Styela clava: one gene and its partner. Each later gene encodes a partner of the first gene's protein in a complex. Links are inferred from orthologs where the notes say so. Each region holds a gene or a part of one and is shown on either strand. Other genes may lie near its edges.

What was found.
Region 2: nucleosome-remodeling factor subunit BPTF-like (region 1) and inorganic pyrophosphatase-like share a complex: the UniProt entries of both Drosophila melanogaster proteins name them as parts of the NURF complex. The link is inferred for Styela clava from reciprocal best matches to the Drosophila melanogaster genes E(bx) and Nurf-38.

Annotation. Positions count from the first base shown.
Region 1 is NC_135262.1:1,332,479-1,341,462, reverse strand, and holds the start of nucleosome-remodeling factor subunit BPTF-like, read left to right. Parts: upstream 1-3,701; 5' UTR 3,702-3,808; coding exon 3,809-3,960; intron 3,961-5,711; coding exon 5,712-5,768; intron 5,769-7,131; coding exon 7,132-7,264; intron 7,265-7,920; coding exon 7,921-8,026; intron 8,027-8,959; coding exon 8,960-8,984. UniProt on the Drosophila melanogaster protein: Histone-binding component of NURF (nucleosome remodeling factor), a complex which catalyzes ATP-dependent nucleosome sliding and facilitates transcription of chromatin.
Region 2 is NC_135256.1:11,805,363-11,813,940, forward strand, and holds inorganic pyrophosphatase-like, read left to right. Parts: upstream 1-3,340; 5' UTR 3,341-3,534; coding exon 3,535-4,485; 3' UTR 4,486-4,790; downstream 4,791-8,578. Other genes in the region: uncharacterized protein LOC120327500, read right to left, coding at 5,450-5,896, 6,181-6,236, 6,335-6,388, 6,552-7,605. UniProt on the Drosophila melanogaster protein: Component of NURF (nucleosome remodeling factor), a complex which catalyzes ATP-dependent nucleosome sliding and facilitates transcription of chromatin.

The DNA of each region.
Region 1 (8,984 bases):
ACGTCCGAACAGGACCAATTAGAACTGATTTTACATATAACAACGAAACAAACAAAATAACGCATTCACCTTCAGTAAGTAGGCTAGCGTTGCGCTACACAGCAATAACGGTAACGTGAACATGTCCGTGTATTAGGCTGGATGACTGAATGCCAAAGCGGGACTTAGATGTCATTATTAGGATTCGCATTTCGGCACATGCACCGACACATAATTATTATTCCACGTGTTTCGCAATCTTCATTGTAAAAGTAAGTTTAGCCCGTGAATATTACTTTCTCGTGTTCATGTATACTGTTTAGTATTTTTTTCCACTTGTGTGAGTGTAAGTGAATGGGCACAAACGCTGGTTACAACGTTCGCTATAAACATTTCTTTAGGTTTTGCCCAAGTTCCCGGTCTTTCTGTCGCCACTGTCTCTGTATTCTCTCTGTATCTCTATGTTGTATACGAAAGATCGAAATAAAATTGTATTGTATAAACACAATAAATAAAATATTTAATCATATTTGGTTAAGTTTAATAAAATAATTTAAATTTCCCGGTGCATTTAGCAACTCGGCGCGGCTACAATCAGCGCTTGCTTGTTTTGCTTAATGGTTAATACACATATATACACGTAAATATAACATTATTACCATAGTACAGTGGTTCTAAAATAGTGGGCGCGCCTCACAAGGGGCGTGAAGCTAATTTTAAAAAATATATTTGTTAGATTTGATCTTATCCGCCTCATTTTGGATATTTACTTTCTATCCACGTATTTTCAACGTGTTTCGCTCTACTATCTGTTATTTGTAGCTTATTGTTATCTAGTTATTTTTGAGGTGGGGTGCGAGACTTGACAAACTCTAAAAAGGGGGCGCGGCTCAAAAAGTTTATAGTATGTAGCAGTAATATCCCTACACCTCCCTAATGTTGAGGTATGACACCACACTTTAATTCTGAACATAAATAAAAATGTATTTGAATATTCAGAAAGTGGCTCATATGCCGGTGAAGATGATTAGTCAAACACATAACACATTTATATAAGCTACAAATAATTTTATTACTAATAACAAAATATCTACCACCCCTTTATTTTGAAACACCCATCTCAAACGAAAAGCTGGGGAAAATACTGGTATGTAGGCTGTAGATTAGTCAGTGGGGTAGTTATCGAGAAAGGGTGTGGATTAAAGAAGCTTGCGATACCTTGAGTAAAAATATTATAAATATCTTGAATTGTCTGTACTCGCCGTTTTGAAGGTGAACGTACATAACGGATTTTTCAATTTGTGAAAAAATAATTGACTACGGACTCGGCAAGAATACGCGAACCTGCTGGTATTGAATCCGAATCTTGAAAATGTGGGAATTCGATATCGAATCTCGTTCCATTCCTAAGTACGATCAAATTATATTTTAAAAAATTAAAATATGTCTCGTTGGGTTATCGTCAAGATACCTAGAGGCGTTGCTATGAACATATGAATACTCAGATTTTCAGAAACACAGTTTGTATTGGTAAATACAAATAGATCAGCATGTAGCAGCATCAACTTATAAACTCCAAAGACTATCGCGCATTTGTGCGCATGTTACAGTTTCATTACTTATGACGTAATAGATATATTTGCGCAAACCATTCTTATGCATGTATTATGACATCATCATGATGCAAAAAAATAAACGTACTTGACTGTAAAAAGTATTTCGTAAATGATAAAGTCTCAGTGTCTGTCAAAGAAATGAATAATGCATTCCACACGATATCAGATTGAATATTATTAGCTAAGTGTTTTAGAAGTACCACAGTCCGAAAGTTCAATACATTCGTGTGTTTTATTTGTGGACCAAGCCTCGTTAAACCGCCTCTTTCGTAGAGTCGTAGACATGTTTACATTGAGAATAATTTCATCGAATTTATTTCTGCGCTCATGTAGAAAACACCAGTTTTGTATTTTTCGTGTGTATGTGCTGCGGTCACATGATATTTTTTAAATGCAATTTTGCGGTATTTGCAGTACGACATGAATTCATGCGCCTTTTCCAGCACCATTTTGCTCTATTCTTGAACGATTTGATGAAAACCGCACATAATCTGGCTTGCTATTAACAATCCTCCCGCCAAACAAGATAGATGAAAACGAATGCCTAAAAACCTCGGATAGCTTCGACAGCGAAGTAAGTATGCAGAGAGATTTAAGATAGTGGTATATATCAGTGACTACTTCTATCTGGCTTTGTTCGGAGCAAAAGGCACGAGTAAGCGTAGTGTTACGTCATTGAGCAAAAAAACTTGGACTGGCTACGCTCTTGTTTGTAGCGACGAGTTGGCAACTTTTTGTCAATTTTTGTCAAAAATGTCGATTGTTCGCGCTTTTTGCTTCGATTAATTATGCAATAACGATATGTAGTGAGCTAGCCTACTTCATATTTGGTAGAATTAGAATCTTGCCGGGGCTAAGGGTTCAGAAGTAAATTTTTTTTCAACATTTTTTCCAAATGCAATTTTTCGGGGTTTGCTGTAAGACATGATTTTATATGCCTTTTCCAACCCCACATTCACCGAAAACCGGACGTTTCTTGGGTTGCTACCAATAATCCTTCCTCCAGACTCTACTAAATGAACCAACCGAGATAGATGAAATTGCGCCTTTGTATACCTTGGATAACTTCGACAGCGAATTCGCTTTAGGCTTTAGAGCTGACATGGACAAGCTACGGCCCGAGGGCCAAATCGGGCCCGTTTGGTAATTCAATATGGCCCGCGGATGCTTTCACAACCAAACTAAAACCTAATTTTCATGTTTTAGTTGAAAACAAAAGTTTAGTTAAAAAACAAGTTAAACTCAATTTTGTCACGAGGTTCATTATTTTACACTTTTATTACACAAATATTATTCATAAAATGTAATTTTTAACGTCACACTTACATGGCCCCGGGTCCAAAAACTTTTCTCACTTCTGTTTGTCACCATATATGTGACCGCTTTTATCTGGCTGACCTGAGTAAGTGTGAGCGTCCTATTAAACCAACCAACCCCCCCCCCCCCCCCCCCGCCCCCAATATTGGACTGTCTACGCTCTTGGTGACAACCAATGCGCTCGGAATTACAGTAACAACATTGGGCCTAAGAAGATTTCTCTTGCATCTATTCAGCTTTTTTTCAATATCAAGACTGCATTATTCAATTGTTATTTTAATTCGACAACAATAACCATTATTGTAACAGAAGTTGGCAATTTTATTGCCGAGCCTTAATCTATAGTACCAATTTAATATTTTGGTGAGCAGGCGTGTGGAATTATATATTATTTTGCTCGATTCAGGCCTTATACTAAATCTATATAATTCCTCATTCTAACTAATGAACACTAACAACGTTTATGATCAATTATTTCCGTTTCATATTATCGGAGGCATGATCGGGTACATTTTAGCTAACACAATATTCGATTTGGGGCAGTTGAGTTTTTCCTGTTTTTTACACTTTTTATTTTTGAGATCCTGCAAAACAGAAAAAACATTAATGATTAAAAGCAGTTGTTATGTAGATCATATTTGCCAAAATAATTTAATAAGCTTTATTTCATATTCAAAAATACGATGAAAACATCGCGAGTTAGGCGAAATTACATTATGGAGCGCTGTGCTGAACTATCGACAAGTATGCTTATCGTTAATTTGCGCATCACGTGACATTCAACGGCGAGGTGCCTGGACGTTTTTTAATGGCGGCGGTCTAGTGACGCAATGGCGATGGAATATACGTGATTTGTCCTTAGTTACCGATATTAATTCAATAATTTTGGGTGGAAAATGGAGAAATTGAAAATGTTTAAGAAAAAGCAACGAAACGGAGAGGGTGAATGGATTAGTTGTTTCGCCGGAGATCAAAAAGTCAACGCGGAATTGAAGAAATTGACAAATTCACCTGGGTGGGTTGCGGCAACCCGAAAGTTGTTGCCAAGGTAAATGATGACGTCACTGTGAGGTCATTAAGAATTGTTGTTGTGTGATGTCACTGTGCTTGCTCAACCGTGTCTTGTGATTTTGATCACCCTTGGACGTGCTTTTTGTCGAAATTTTGAAAATTTTACCCGGCGAGCAAGTCTTACAAACGGCTTTTCCCGGGAAACCATTTTGAACCGAATTTACGCAACGTAGACGCGGGAAAGTTTTTTTTTGACAGTTTGGGTTGCAGACCCCTATTTTTTTTGAAAGGGTTTTGGGATTTCCTAAATGCGGAAGTCAATTGTGTGTTGATTTAATTTTATTAATTATTTTTACCCTTCTTTGAAACAAAGCTAGGGAAGCATTGGGTAGTAAGGCAATACAGCAATAGCTTCATCTGTGTGTGCATTTGTAGACATAAGTACTGATGCACAATAAGCTATTGTCTCACTCAATTTTGCAATTGGTGTTTGTCCTGGCTGTTCTCTCAGGTCAGCAGGTATCTTCTGATACAAATGTCTTGAAGCCTACCGTAACACCTTTAATATTCGTGAACATAAAGCTATTATAGCCAAGTCTTTATAGTTTTAGTTGGTCTTGCTTCTAGTCTAGATGTCTCTTTAAAAAATGATATGAATTGTTCACAAATACTGTTTCTTATTCTTCCTTTATAAAAGTTTGCTCAAATCTTTGTCGTATAAATACACCCGGCTAAATTATTTACATCAGGGTACAAATGGCAATGGCTGAAATTTCATAAAATTATGCTGACGAATTATCTGCCAGTAAATGCAGTTCAACACTAGACACAAAACATTTGATTTCAATTTGATTAATAAAGAGGCAATTCCATATATGTAATGAATTTCAAAATATAATAGGAAAATTCTGCGCAATGTACCCTCTGGAGTATAGTTCGAAGTCGAAATGTTTCTGCAGGATAGAAGACTGAATTATTTTTGCATTTCACTAAATATTGTTCTATAAAAGCAATAACCTAATTTTTAATTCGCTAAAAAAAAATAAAGAGTTTGTAAAAAAATTGGAATTGACCTAACAATCCCAGTTAAAGTTGTTAATTAAACACTTTGTGTGGTAAATGTGTTGGCGAATTTAAATTCTGAAAATCAACATTGAAAATATGAGAAAAATATGCTTAAAAATAGCGCATGATTGTCACCAAGTATATTCATGTCGGAAATAAGTGAAGCACAACTGGTGTATAGCAAAACGATTTAATTTGCCGAAGTTTCGAATTTCTATTCAAAAAAAGTGCTTAAAAAGTTGTTCTTCAGTATGCTTTTATAATTGTCCGAAAAGACTTGTTTGACATTTATTTAATTCTATATATCGGCTTGGTCGGCAAATCAATCGCGAATTCATGCCATTATAGAATATATCTGATCTTATTTATATATATACAGGGTGTCCTTAAAGTCTTGAAATTTTTTAAAGGGAATTTGTCGATACCATGTATTGTTTTGACCCTCACAGATGTATTGAATGAAGTAAAAATACCTGAACAATTACTGATTAAAAATAACAAACATAGTTAAGATATATTGAGAACTGACTTCATAACAGAATTAAAATGGTGAAGGGACTTTATGGACACTCTGTATAGGGAACCAGTGGTTTCTGTCTGGCAACTTTTCCCACAACTTACAAAGAAATATTATTCATTCTTACTCACTCGTAACATTATTCGTACTCTTTCTGCTTCAAGTTGTTGTTGTTTGATTTTTAATACCTATCATTTATTTTTTAGCAACAAAAGTCCAGGAAGCAGTCGAGCATCAACACCTTCAAGTCTATCAACAAACAGGTAAAAAAACTGATGAGTCAGCATTTTAAACATGTGTTCACCCCGAATAAGGCCCTGTATAAGCATTTACTGAATATATTTTCGGGAAGGCTGACACCTTTCTAGTTCGGCATTGGGTATTTATTACATTTAGGGTGGCGAGGTTGTAGGCATGGGTTTAAAACCAAGATAATTAATCCGCAACCCCCTCAACACATTTGAGCCCCACACTCTTTCATGCTGTACCAGGTGCGTAGCCAGAGGGGGTGAAGGGAGCATCCTTTTGAAACGTAAAAAAGGCATTTTTAGCTTTCAGACTCTCAAGATTCATTAAAAGCCGCTTATTCTGGCCTCCGACCGGACCTGCTAGCTCATGCTGTCTAACTTGGCAATCAGAAAATCCAGAGCCCCCCCCTCCCCCCCTTTTGAAAATTCGTAGATACGCCTATGGGCTACAGTACAAAATGATTTGGATTCTGGGTATATAAAACAGTTAAAATTGAACATAATTAATGCCATACTACAATTTTCGTTTTAATAATTTATAGATAAAATTCTGAATTCTTGAAATCTACTTAATAAATTTTATTTGAACCTCTTTGCTCCAAAGTAGGCTTTAGACAAGTAGCTAACAATATGTCAGTATCTACTTTGTGTTTAGAATAGCCCGACTCGTTTATTCCACCCTGAGTGAGGTATAGATCATTGGTTTTGAGTCTGAGATATGTTTTGACACCAAAGAGCCCAATGTTTATATATCGGGCATTATATTTTGCTGCAAAATGATCCACCTGGACAAAAATATTCAAAGTTATTTGGAAGAATAATCCGATATACCTCCCCAAATAAAAAACAAGAACACTTCTGAAAACCTTTGTAAAAAAAACAAACAATCTGAGCTATCTTGTGGGTGCAATACATTGGGAGCGAATATGTGGTTTTCCATCTTTTAGAATTGTATTACCCCATCATGTACGAGTATCTGCTTGTCTTGAGTCTTGTTCAGAGTGAAACAATGAAAACTTTAAGCTATTTTGCGATTGAGTTTAATTTTAGCACGGGGTTCATTGTTTTCCACTTTTACTTTTGTAACACTGTAAATATTGTTCATAAAATGTATCTTTTTATGTCACACTCACATGGCCCCCTAGCCTAGGTGGGCAAATTTTTTGGCCCCGAGTCTAGATGTATTTGATGGGAAAGAAATTCATAATCGACCAGTTGTCATGTGAACCACTCTGTGTATCTTGGAGTTTTGCGTCTAATTATCCCATTTGAATTTATATATGTGCGATTAGAAAACATATCTCTAACCTGATCGTAATCGCATTTAAATTTGAAAAATAAACTTTCAAATAATGTTTATTTTTCTTTCAAACTTCAGCAAATCTTCCAAAAAATTAAAGAACAAGAAAAAAGACAAAGAATCAAAAAATGAGAAGAAAAAATTTAAAATGGTTTTGGAGAAAGATGAAGAATTCGAAATTGATTATGTGTCTCCTGAAGAGGATGAAGAGGTGGGTGTGTCAGAGGCGTGGCTTAGAAAGATATGGGTGTGGCCTAAAATGTGGGTGGGGTAGAGGCATGTGTACTGTGTTGAATTGCAAATATGTGTGACATAGGCATATTTACCTATTATTGGGGTGTCTGAGGAGGTTGGTGTGTTAGGAGTCTGGACATAATTTACTCCTCTTTTGACAATGTTGTACTCCAATTGGGTGTGACATAGGTGTGTCCGCTATAGAGGGCTGATCTTCATACCTTTCACATATCGACAAAAATTTTTACTTTAAACAACATCGTGGCATAGATGTGCCAACTCTATTATGTATGATTATGTATCGCCTGTGTAGGAAAGGGTGGGTGTGTCAGAGGCGTGGCTTAGAAAAAAATGGGTGTGTTATGGCTGTGCCCTAAAATGTGGGTGGAGTAGAACCATTTTTTGCTGTAGCGTTATTCTAGCAGCTTATTTTGTATATTAACAATATTTTTGACAATATTTTGCCACAAATAGTGTGGTAAGGGCATGTCTCAATAAATGGGCGTGCCATAGGTGTGTTCACTCTCCTAGTTAAATTTAAATTGCGAACAGTTTTCACTCTTACTGTAGAGTGAATCAACTTGATGTGCTTGGAGTCATGTTTTTGTTGAAAATTTAATTTTTTTGACTCAGGCCACCACTGAAGACTCAGATGTTGACAGCAAAGGACTAAACTCGGATGATTCTGATCATGATTTTAGTTTTGATGAAGCAGAAGAAGATGATGTCTCCTCATTGGGTAAGAAAGTGGGTGTGTCGGGGGTGTGATGTATTCTGACTTGGGAATAGAATAATCTTTATTTTAAAGGTGTCAGTGGTTGACCAAATTGTCACTCAGATAAATGGCATGGTGAAAAAGGTTTTTACCAAGAGATGATCATTTTCTATCAAGTATTTTTTCCAACCAGTCAAAAGCACAAATTACAAGAAAATGATACTTTACACAGTTTAACTGGGTATAACCATGTGTTAAATTAATCTTATTGCGTTAGGTTAATATACATTAGGAAAGAGGTTTTTACTACCCATGACGATTATTAAAGGTGAAAACTAATCGGCAACTATCAGTTAGATCAATTAAAACATGGGTGTGCAACAGGTGGTCTGCCTGATCACTTTGATAAATCCATGATAAAGTCATGATCAGTCATCTGTGACCGATGACGTCACAGGTCATGCTCAGCCATCTTAGAGAATGCTAGTTGCCAGAAATACAATAAATATACAGCTAACACAACAGGCGGCTTGCGAGCCACAACCCGGCCCGCCAAGCCGTTCAGTGTGACGGCCCTTGTCAACACTCAGATTTTTCCCCATCGAGCATTAAATCCTAATCTGACAGTTTATGTTTGGAATGGGTAAAAATACATAATGTTTTTTGTTTTTATCACTGTGTTGAATCTTTCAACGTTCTGCCCGGTGTCTTTATTACTCCAATGCTAAGTAATAGCAGTATTCTCTTATCTTTTCCACATAGTCAACTGAATTTTATGCCGGGCCCTGCTAGATGTCTGAAGTTGGTTATATGGCCAACCGACAAAAAATGTTGCACACCTGTGAGTTAAAGATCGACTTTAAGTGTATTCCCGTCATTCTGGATTTTTCGAGTTTCCTGACGTCGGGATCATTTATATATAAATACTTTTTGAAAATTCGTCGAAATTTTATTCAGAAAACACCTCAATGCATTTGTCAGA
Region 2 (8,578 bases), on another chromosome or scaffold:
CTCAATGTTATATTCACGTGAACGTTCGAACAGGACCAATTGGAATTGATTTTACATGTGATACGTTCGCTAACATAACGGAACAAATAAAATAACGCATTCACCTTCAGTAAGTAGACTAGCGTTGCGCTACACGGCAACAACAGTAACGAGAACATGTTCGTGTATTATGCTGGATGGCAGAACGCAAAAGCGGGACTTTTGGTTGACTTGTCGGGACGGCGGGACAAGACGCTAAAAAGCGGGACTGTCGCGCCTAAAGCGGGACGTATGGTAAGCCTAGTTATACCTAACTTCAAAAATAATTATTATAGATGTTGTTATACACGAGAATAAATATATAAGTTAAAGGCCAAGTGAGAGAAAAATGCTTGTAATAGTATCATTTAAATGCCAAGTGAGAGAAAAATGCTTGTAATAGTATCATTTAAATCAGGGGTGTGCAAAGTGCGGCCCGCGAGGGAAAATTGTGCGGCCCGCGGAGTAATGCCAATTTTGAATGGTGTGCGGCCAGCTAAACTAGTTTTTATATTAGTTTGATATGGTGTCCTTTGCGTTGCAAAGCCTATATTCGAGTCCAATTTATTATCTATGCCTATGACGTTACAACGTCCAAACAGCGAAGCAGACAACGCGATGCAGCGAACAATTTAAAGGAAAATGCGGAGAAGACCCTAATGAATTTGTATGAACGGGCAATTGAAGATTAGGCAAATGGAAAGCAGTTTGAAAAAATTTAATATTAAGAGATACAAAAGCAAAATGAGTTTTGTTTCCAGTTTATCAGTTGATTTTGTTCAAATCTAAAACTAGAATAAGATTTAACAGCAAATTATTTGGAAATGAATCTTGGCGTATTTTACCGAAAACATCTCAACCAAGATAACTTTGCAAATTTGAAAAAAGTCATGGCTTCAAATATGGCACTTTTCGGCTACATATTTTATTCTAAAATGGGCGTCATATCGAATTGCCCGCACTTCCATTAAAGCAAATTTGGATAAAACTAGTCCGGAAAAGAATCCAGCAGCAAATTTCTCACTGAATTCGTCAACATTGGGTGTGACAATATATTTGAATTACAGTTTTAAGAAATTTATGCGTTTCAACCTATCATTTCTGTATGGACCCTAATGATGACGACATGAGATCAATAACAAAAAAGACACTATTTTGTGCCTGCAACTAATAGAAAGCATATGTTAAATGAAGGTGCGGCCCGCGGGTTTACCCAGTTATTGATATTTGGCCCGCCTGTAAAAAAGATTCCCCACCCCTGATTTAAATCATCAAACTGAGCAACAAACTCACTCCTATAACGTGCTGCTCGGGTCGGTTTCCCCTTTGCCCCCTCCCGACACGCCACTGACCATAAGACTTTTAACCAGTTACTTTTTCAGGACGCATGTACTTTTATATAGTGGATGTCAAATAACCATCCAGAAATCCTCTTGTATAATATTTCCATTAGATGTATTCGTTTTTGCAAACTCAAGGTTAATTTGACAAACTGTAGAACTTATGTCAGGAGTAGTTAGCCGACCCATAAGTATTGGCAAGCGTCTTGTAATATCTGCAGATTACAATTTTACATTGCAATAAACGTTACATTGCATAACCGTTTTCAATATTGATAACTACAAAAACGAAATAGGCTGGATGTAAGAAACACGTTACGTGCGTCCATGTCGACCATATCTCGAATATGTGAACAATTAATGGCCATCAAACAAATAAAGATATCTCATTAAATAGCATCGCGTCGTTTTTAGTACATTGTCAACCTAAATTCACTAATGCGTATAATGTATTGCATAGGCTTAGTTCGTTTGTATAAAGGTGGTCCGCCAAATGTTTGGTCATGCTTTACCGGTCCGTCACTTGAAAAAGGTTGCCGACCACTGTGTTGAAGGAACACACGGATAATATTCAGTATATGCTTGTACAGAAATCAGTTTATAGCATATAATTTCGAATAAATACTTTTCATATCTCAAAAGTTGCTTGTTCGGGCCTATTTCAGAGAGAAGTTTTGAATAAACACCATCATGCTTTTGTACCGTAGAGTAGTGTTCCGCAACCGGTGTGCCGCGAGACGATGCCAGGTGTGCCGCACAGGAATTGCAACTTTTCTCTTCTTTTTCAATTTATTTTTATCTTTTGTTAATTTTACGTCAGTCTACTTCTCTACTAAAATGAACTTGCTTTTACGTTAGCTTGAGCGACACCAAATCAAATTCCTGACTTCCCCACTATACATTTGTGACGTAACGAGGAGTACCCCTATATGTCAAGTAGATTGCAATCATTGTCGAGGGTAAAACATAGCGCGTGTAGTAATCGAATATAAATAAACCTGAAATGTGAGTTTGCAGAATCATTGCCCATAGTGGTCTTTGATTAAAAAAGTCAAGGAACGTTAAAGTTTAGCAAAATGGATAAATTTTTAAAAAGAACATCCAAAACATCTGATACTGAGCAACATATTGTACCTAGCACAAGCAACGTTATAAAAAAAACTTATCAAAAGGAAATACAGGGAAGATTACATAAACTATGGATTTTCTTGCTGTGGTAACGGAGATGCTCCAAATTCAGTCTGCGTTATTTGTGGGGAGCAACTTTCAAATTAGGCAATGGCTCCGAGTAAACTGATGCGCCACTTAAATACAAATCACGGTTTCGTGTGAAATTTGGCGAAAAAGCACTCAAATCTAATGGAGCAAAGATATGACAAGTACTGGTACTTTTTCGCAATTACCAATGAGCGATACGACTGGATCCGAAATCCTTTATCAACTAGTGCTGAAATGTCAACAAAAGAATTACCCCTGCGTATTCGAGAAAATTTCTTTGAAGTAAGAAATGACAGAACGTTAAGACTCAAATTCAGTGAAATTCCACTCGATGTGTTTTGGATTTCAATAAAAAGAAGACTATAAGCGCACATTTCCAATGCAGCTATTGAAGTATTGCTCCATTTTTGCATAACTTATATGTGCGAACAAAGCTTTTCCTTTTTATTACTGATCAAAAACGATGAACGATCCTACATAAATGATGTTGACGGCGAACTTCGAGTTGCTCTTTCACGTATTGATCCTAATATAGAGCGATTGTGCTCTATATACAACCACAAATTTCTCATTGAAATATGAACATACAAAGTTACACTTTTTTTTTTGTTTGTTGTGGTGTGCCGTCGAATTTGGTAAGTTTTATAAGTGTGCCGCAAGGTAAAAAAGGTTGCGGAGCACTGGCGTAGAGCGACAGACGACACTGATGTACAATAGATGTTTAGTTTGAGCTCTGCACGGACTTTGCTCGAGTAACTGGTACATCAAGTTTGATTGAGTCATTCACACCGTTTGCGGCGCCGGCCACGTTTTCGTTGCGGCCGCGTCTCTAAATCGCGGAATTGTCTTTGATTGTTTAGTGGAGGGCGGGGTGATCACTTTTTGTTTGTCAAGGCATAAGTTACGGTAAATCTGCGTAGCAGGCTTTTTATAATAATATACGACTGTACACCGGTCTATGTTGTCTTTCGTGCATAGAGGATTTTGCCGAGTAATTTCGAATAATTCACCCAATATATCAAGAATCATGTCTTATGTCGCTGAAGAAAGAGGGCGTCCAAACACGCTTGATTATAGAATATACTATAAAAACAGCGAGGGGCAATACATCTCCCCTTTGCATGACATTCCATGGCTGGTTTCGGAAAGCCCACGAGTGTACAATATGGTCTGTGAGGTTCCAAGATGGACGAACAGCAAGATGGAAATTGCAACAAAAGAGAGTCTAAATCCAATTAAACAAGATGTGAAAAAGGGGAAACTCCGATATGTTGCTAATTGCTTTCCACACAGAGGATATATTTGGAATTATGGAGCAATTCCACAGACTTGGGAAAACCCAGGACACAAAGACAAGAATACAGGTCAGTGTGGTGACAATGACCCAATTGATGTTTGTGAAATTGGATCAAAAATCTGCAAGCGTGGTGAAGTTATTCAAGTAAAGGTTGTTGGTGTTCTTGCCATGATTGATGAAGGAGAAACTGACTGGAAAGTGATAGGAATCAACGTTAACGATGAAGACGCTCCAAAAATAAATTCAATTGGAGATGTTGAGAAGATGAAACCTGGATACTTGGATGCCACTCGTGAATGGTTTAAAATTTACAAGATACCAGATGGAAAACCAGCGAACTGTTTTGCATTTAATGGAGATTATAAAGACCGTGAATTCGCTGAAGAAACAATTGCTGAAACTCATAGGTTCTGGGTTGAAAGTCATTCCGGAACCTTGAAATGTGATTTTGCAATGGAAAACATTTGCTGCAGTGACAGCAAATTCAAAATTGATGGTAAAGCCGCAACTAAAATCCTAGAAGCTGCACCGGCACTTGACGAAGCAGAAGAGGTTACTGATGAAAAAGCTGAGAAGTGGTACTACACCAGTTTGCTTCAAGGTCAACTTTAATTAGCCAAAGAAATTTACTTTCTGCGTGGAACTGCTGCTACTATCTATGATTAAGCAATTTATGGAAGTTGTAGAACAAGGCCAGGTGCACGCTAAATAATTCAATATCTACGCAATGCACTTTTTACCTTTTGTTCAATTCATGAAAAACGAAGTCTGGTAAATACAGATATCTCGCTTTGGTGATTGTCATATTATTTGTTAAAATCGAAAGTTCATCTTTATATTTTTGATTTCTGTATGTCGGATTCTTGTAGACAAATTGGAACATGTGTTTCTGTTTTGAATAAAAGTAATTAAAGCAATCCAAGAGTTTGCTATTCCTTGATAAGCTATCGGAACTCGACCACCTTTGGACGACTGCTTGACTTACACAGGCTTGTGCAACCCTAACCCATTCTTTATAGTTAAATTTTTTTTAACTTGCTCGAACATGTTTCATGACATTCCTGTCAGGGTGTGTAAAAACACCTGATTGGAATGCACCCAGTCAAGACAAAAACCCTGGTCTAATAGTTGGGTCTTTACGTGATGATTTCCCAATAGTATAAAAGCCTCGGGTGTTTGCAAAAAGATGTATAGTATTAGGTGCCCACATCAGAGTGAATACTATTCGATACACTTTCACTGCTTCGATCCATAACACGCGATTCTATTACATTTCATCCCTTTTGCCACTGCTTTGATGGACCTTACAAGCCTCGGGTGTTTGCAAAAAGATGTATAGTATTAGGTGCCCACATCAGAGTGAATACTATTCGATACACTTTCACTGCTTCGATCCATAACACGCGATTCTATTACATTTCATCCCTTTTGCCACTGCTTTGATGGACCTTACTTACTATGCTATCACAATATTGTATAGATGCCATTGCCCTAAAGGACAGTGTATTGGCGCTTTATCTACACTCATAAATACATTTTTCATGAACAAACACACCCTTTATATTATTAACTTAGTTTAGTCCAATGCTATAGACTTCATTTTATGAATGTCAATGTAGTTTATTTTCCCTTTTGCTGGATCTTCTTCAAATCCCAAGCCTTTTGCTGCATTGCCCTCTTTTCTTTTTTGTAAATTAAATGAAAGTGTCTGGTTATATTGGGTCTCAAGGTTATTAGCAAGTTTTTTAGATTCATTTTCATCTGGGGCCATTGTCGAAAATGTTTTGTTATTGTTTTGTAATGTACCCCAAAGTTTCCTTCCTTGTGGTGGTTTCCAAACTCCAGTTAATTTACTGAGCAAGCTTTGACAATTTGTTTGAGTTAATGAGGTTTCTGCTGAATCTTTGGATTTAGCACAACCAAGTAATCTGGCAAATTTATCCTGCTGAGCAGATGATGCTAGTTTGGCCGTCTTCCATTGTCCAAGCTTATCAGTATCTAGATGTTCTTCACCTGTGACAATCTGCAGAGACATGACAATATTTTTACATTTGATATTATTAGGTCTGAAAACTAAAGGTTCTCATCTTTTATCAGGGAGAAGGTGGTATAATATGGGGATAAGATAATTATAAGTGGTATTGCAGTTTCCAAGTGCAAGCCAATAACATAGAATTGGTCGTCATTTTCATTATTTTGATTTGTCACAGCAGCTTTCTTAATGAATATTGATACACAATTTTCTCTGATATTTGCAAAGATATATCTGTAAGATAGAAGGTCAAGAAAAGCTAATGTGATACATACTTGGTGCTGACCATCTTTTTTCGGTTTGTCAAGAACATCATTTCCAGAAATATGACCTAAAATAATGAAGTATTTTATTGTATACCAACGTTAAAAATGCCTAACACTATATGTTCGTTAGGCAAATACTTGAAAAAAAACTTAGTCAATTTACCATATTTTGATTTCTTCTTCTTATGATTCACATCATTTTCAACAGAAGATGAATCTATTTTAAAATAGTTTTATCAAACTTATTCTCCTGAAAATTATTTAGTTAAAAAATGATAATGACTGGATATTTTATATTGCCACTGACAACAGGATAGAATTTTTTCATATCACAAATACTTAAATATATTCTTAATAAACAATCATTTTTAATCACTTACCTTTCATGTTCGCAACAACTGATGCTTCAGATGATGTTATTTCTTTGTGCATAGCTTTTTTCCGTTTCTTTTTCTTAACTGGAAAATCAGCTGAAGTATCATCTTGCGTGATTGCACTGCTTTTTCTTTTACGCTTGTTATTTTTCAGTTCATCGCTTACTGATATATTTGATTCATTTTGCGGGGACGTACTCTTACTGTCCAGCTCTTCCATCCCAGTTTTACTGGCAAGAGTTTCATTCACACCCAAAATAATTAGGTTGCTTGAGGTATTTTCTACGTCCTTTTTATTTTTCTTCTTTTTCCTCCGTTTTGTTGTATTTTCTAATGTTATAGATGTTGAAGTGTTTTTTGTTTCCTTTAATTTTGACTTTTTCTTGTCATTGAAACTCTCATTGACAGTAACAATCTTTTTACTTTTCTTCCTCTTCTTATTTTCAACAGTCTTTTCAACTTCAGTTGTAACGATGCCTATATCATTCCCCTCATTTAAGTTCTTTTTTGTTTTTTTCTTCTTTTTGACAGGCTTTTTCTCTATAGCAATTTCAGCATAAGGTATGTTACTATCCATGGCTGTGTTATTGACTCCAATTATATCAATTTCTACACCATTCTCCATTTCTTTTAACTTTCTTTTACTTTTTTTTTTCTTTTTGATGGATTTCTTAATGGAAATTTCAGCCTCAGTCATTTTACCATCAAGGGTAGTAGTTTTCTCATTATTATTCGCATTGGTTTCCACTTCCATTATGTCATTTTCTACATCTTTCAATTTCTTTTTTTCCCTCTTTTTGATGGGTTTCTCAATAGGTGTTTCAGTCATCTTATTATCATGAACCTTCTCCACTTTAATGTTTAGTTTCTTCGTATCTAATTTCTTTGTAACAACCAGGCCCACAGAAACTTCATTTTCACTTTTGATAGTGCTTTTGTCTATACATTTTTTATGTTTTTCCTTTTTTGGCTTGGATACTTTGTTTTTCTTGCTACTTTTTTCCTTGTTATTTTTCTGCACGCATTCAGCATCTAAATCTCCAGTTTGTTTGAGCTGCATCTCTTTTATTCAAAATCAAGAGGTGAGTTTTAATGAATTTCAGAATTTAGCAATGCATGTCAAGTTATCTGACGCTTGTGAGGTAAATGTAAAATGTTGCTTTTGAAACATTCACACCACGCATTGAGAATTATAAGACTATTTGGCCAGATTAATCCCCCGGGACAAATATGTAAATCTTAAAAAGTGACCAATAATGATATTAAAAAGAATGCTTTGTCAATGCCCTGTTCCCCTACAGCCCTCTTGTTCTCTCTATTGTACGGTGTGCTGGTATGTTGCATTGTTCTGTTGTAGTTTGGCACATGTATGTCTGTGAAGACCGTGATGTTGTTATCAGTTATGCTAAGAAACAAACTTATTTCAGCGCCTGATATCACCTTGTAAGTTATAGATTCGAGTCCGAGGGGTCTGGTATACTGGTATAGAATAGTGATCATGCAGATATCAGGTTATTGCAGAATGGTCAGATGGTCGGTCAGACAATCAAGTTACCTACAGTACAGTTCTGGGGGCCTCATGTAGTTTCTTACCTAACATCAGAACATACTTCTATTGAGCCTAGCATGACACTTTTTTCACGTATCAATCCTAACCCCCACCTGACTACACCATCCAAAAATTACGTCATATCGACGTCACAGTGACGTAATAGAGCCCTTCAAACTATACGAACTGCCATCCAAGACGCGCAAACGAGCACCCGAAATCGAACAGTTATTTCTCTCGTTTTCTCATCGCAACGATTCCAATAGGAGAGAGACCGATAACGTCAGTCAGTTCTTTATCGTCGGCGCCAATGCCATTTCGGTCGATCGTGCGTACATTTGGCAAGCTCTATGACGTGATTGTGATGTCGTAGTGATTTAGTTTTTGGATGGCGTAATCAGATGGGGGTTAGGATTGACATATCAAAAAAATGTTATGCTACGCCCACTAGAAGTACGTTAGGTACGAAACTACACGAGACTGC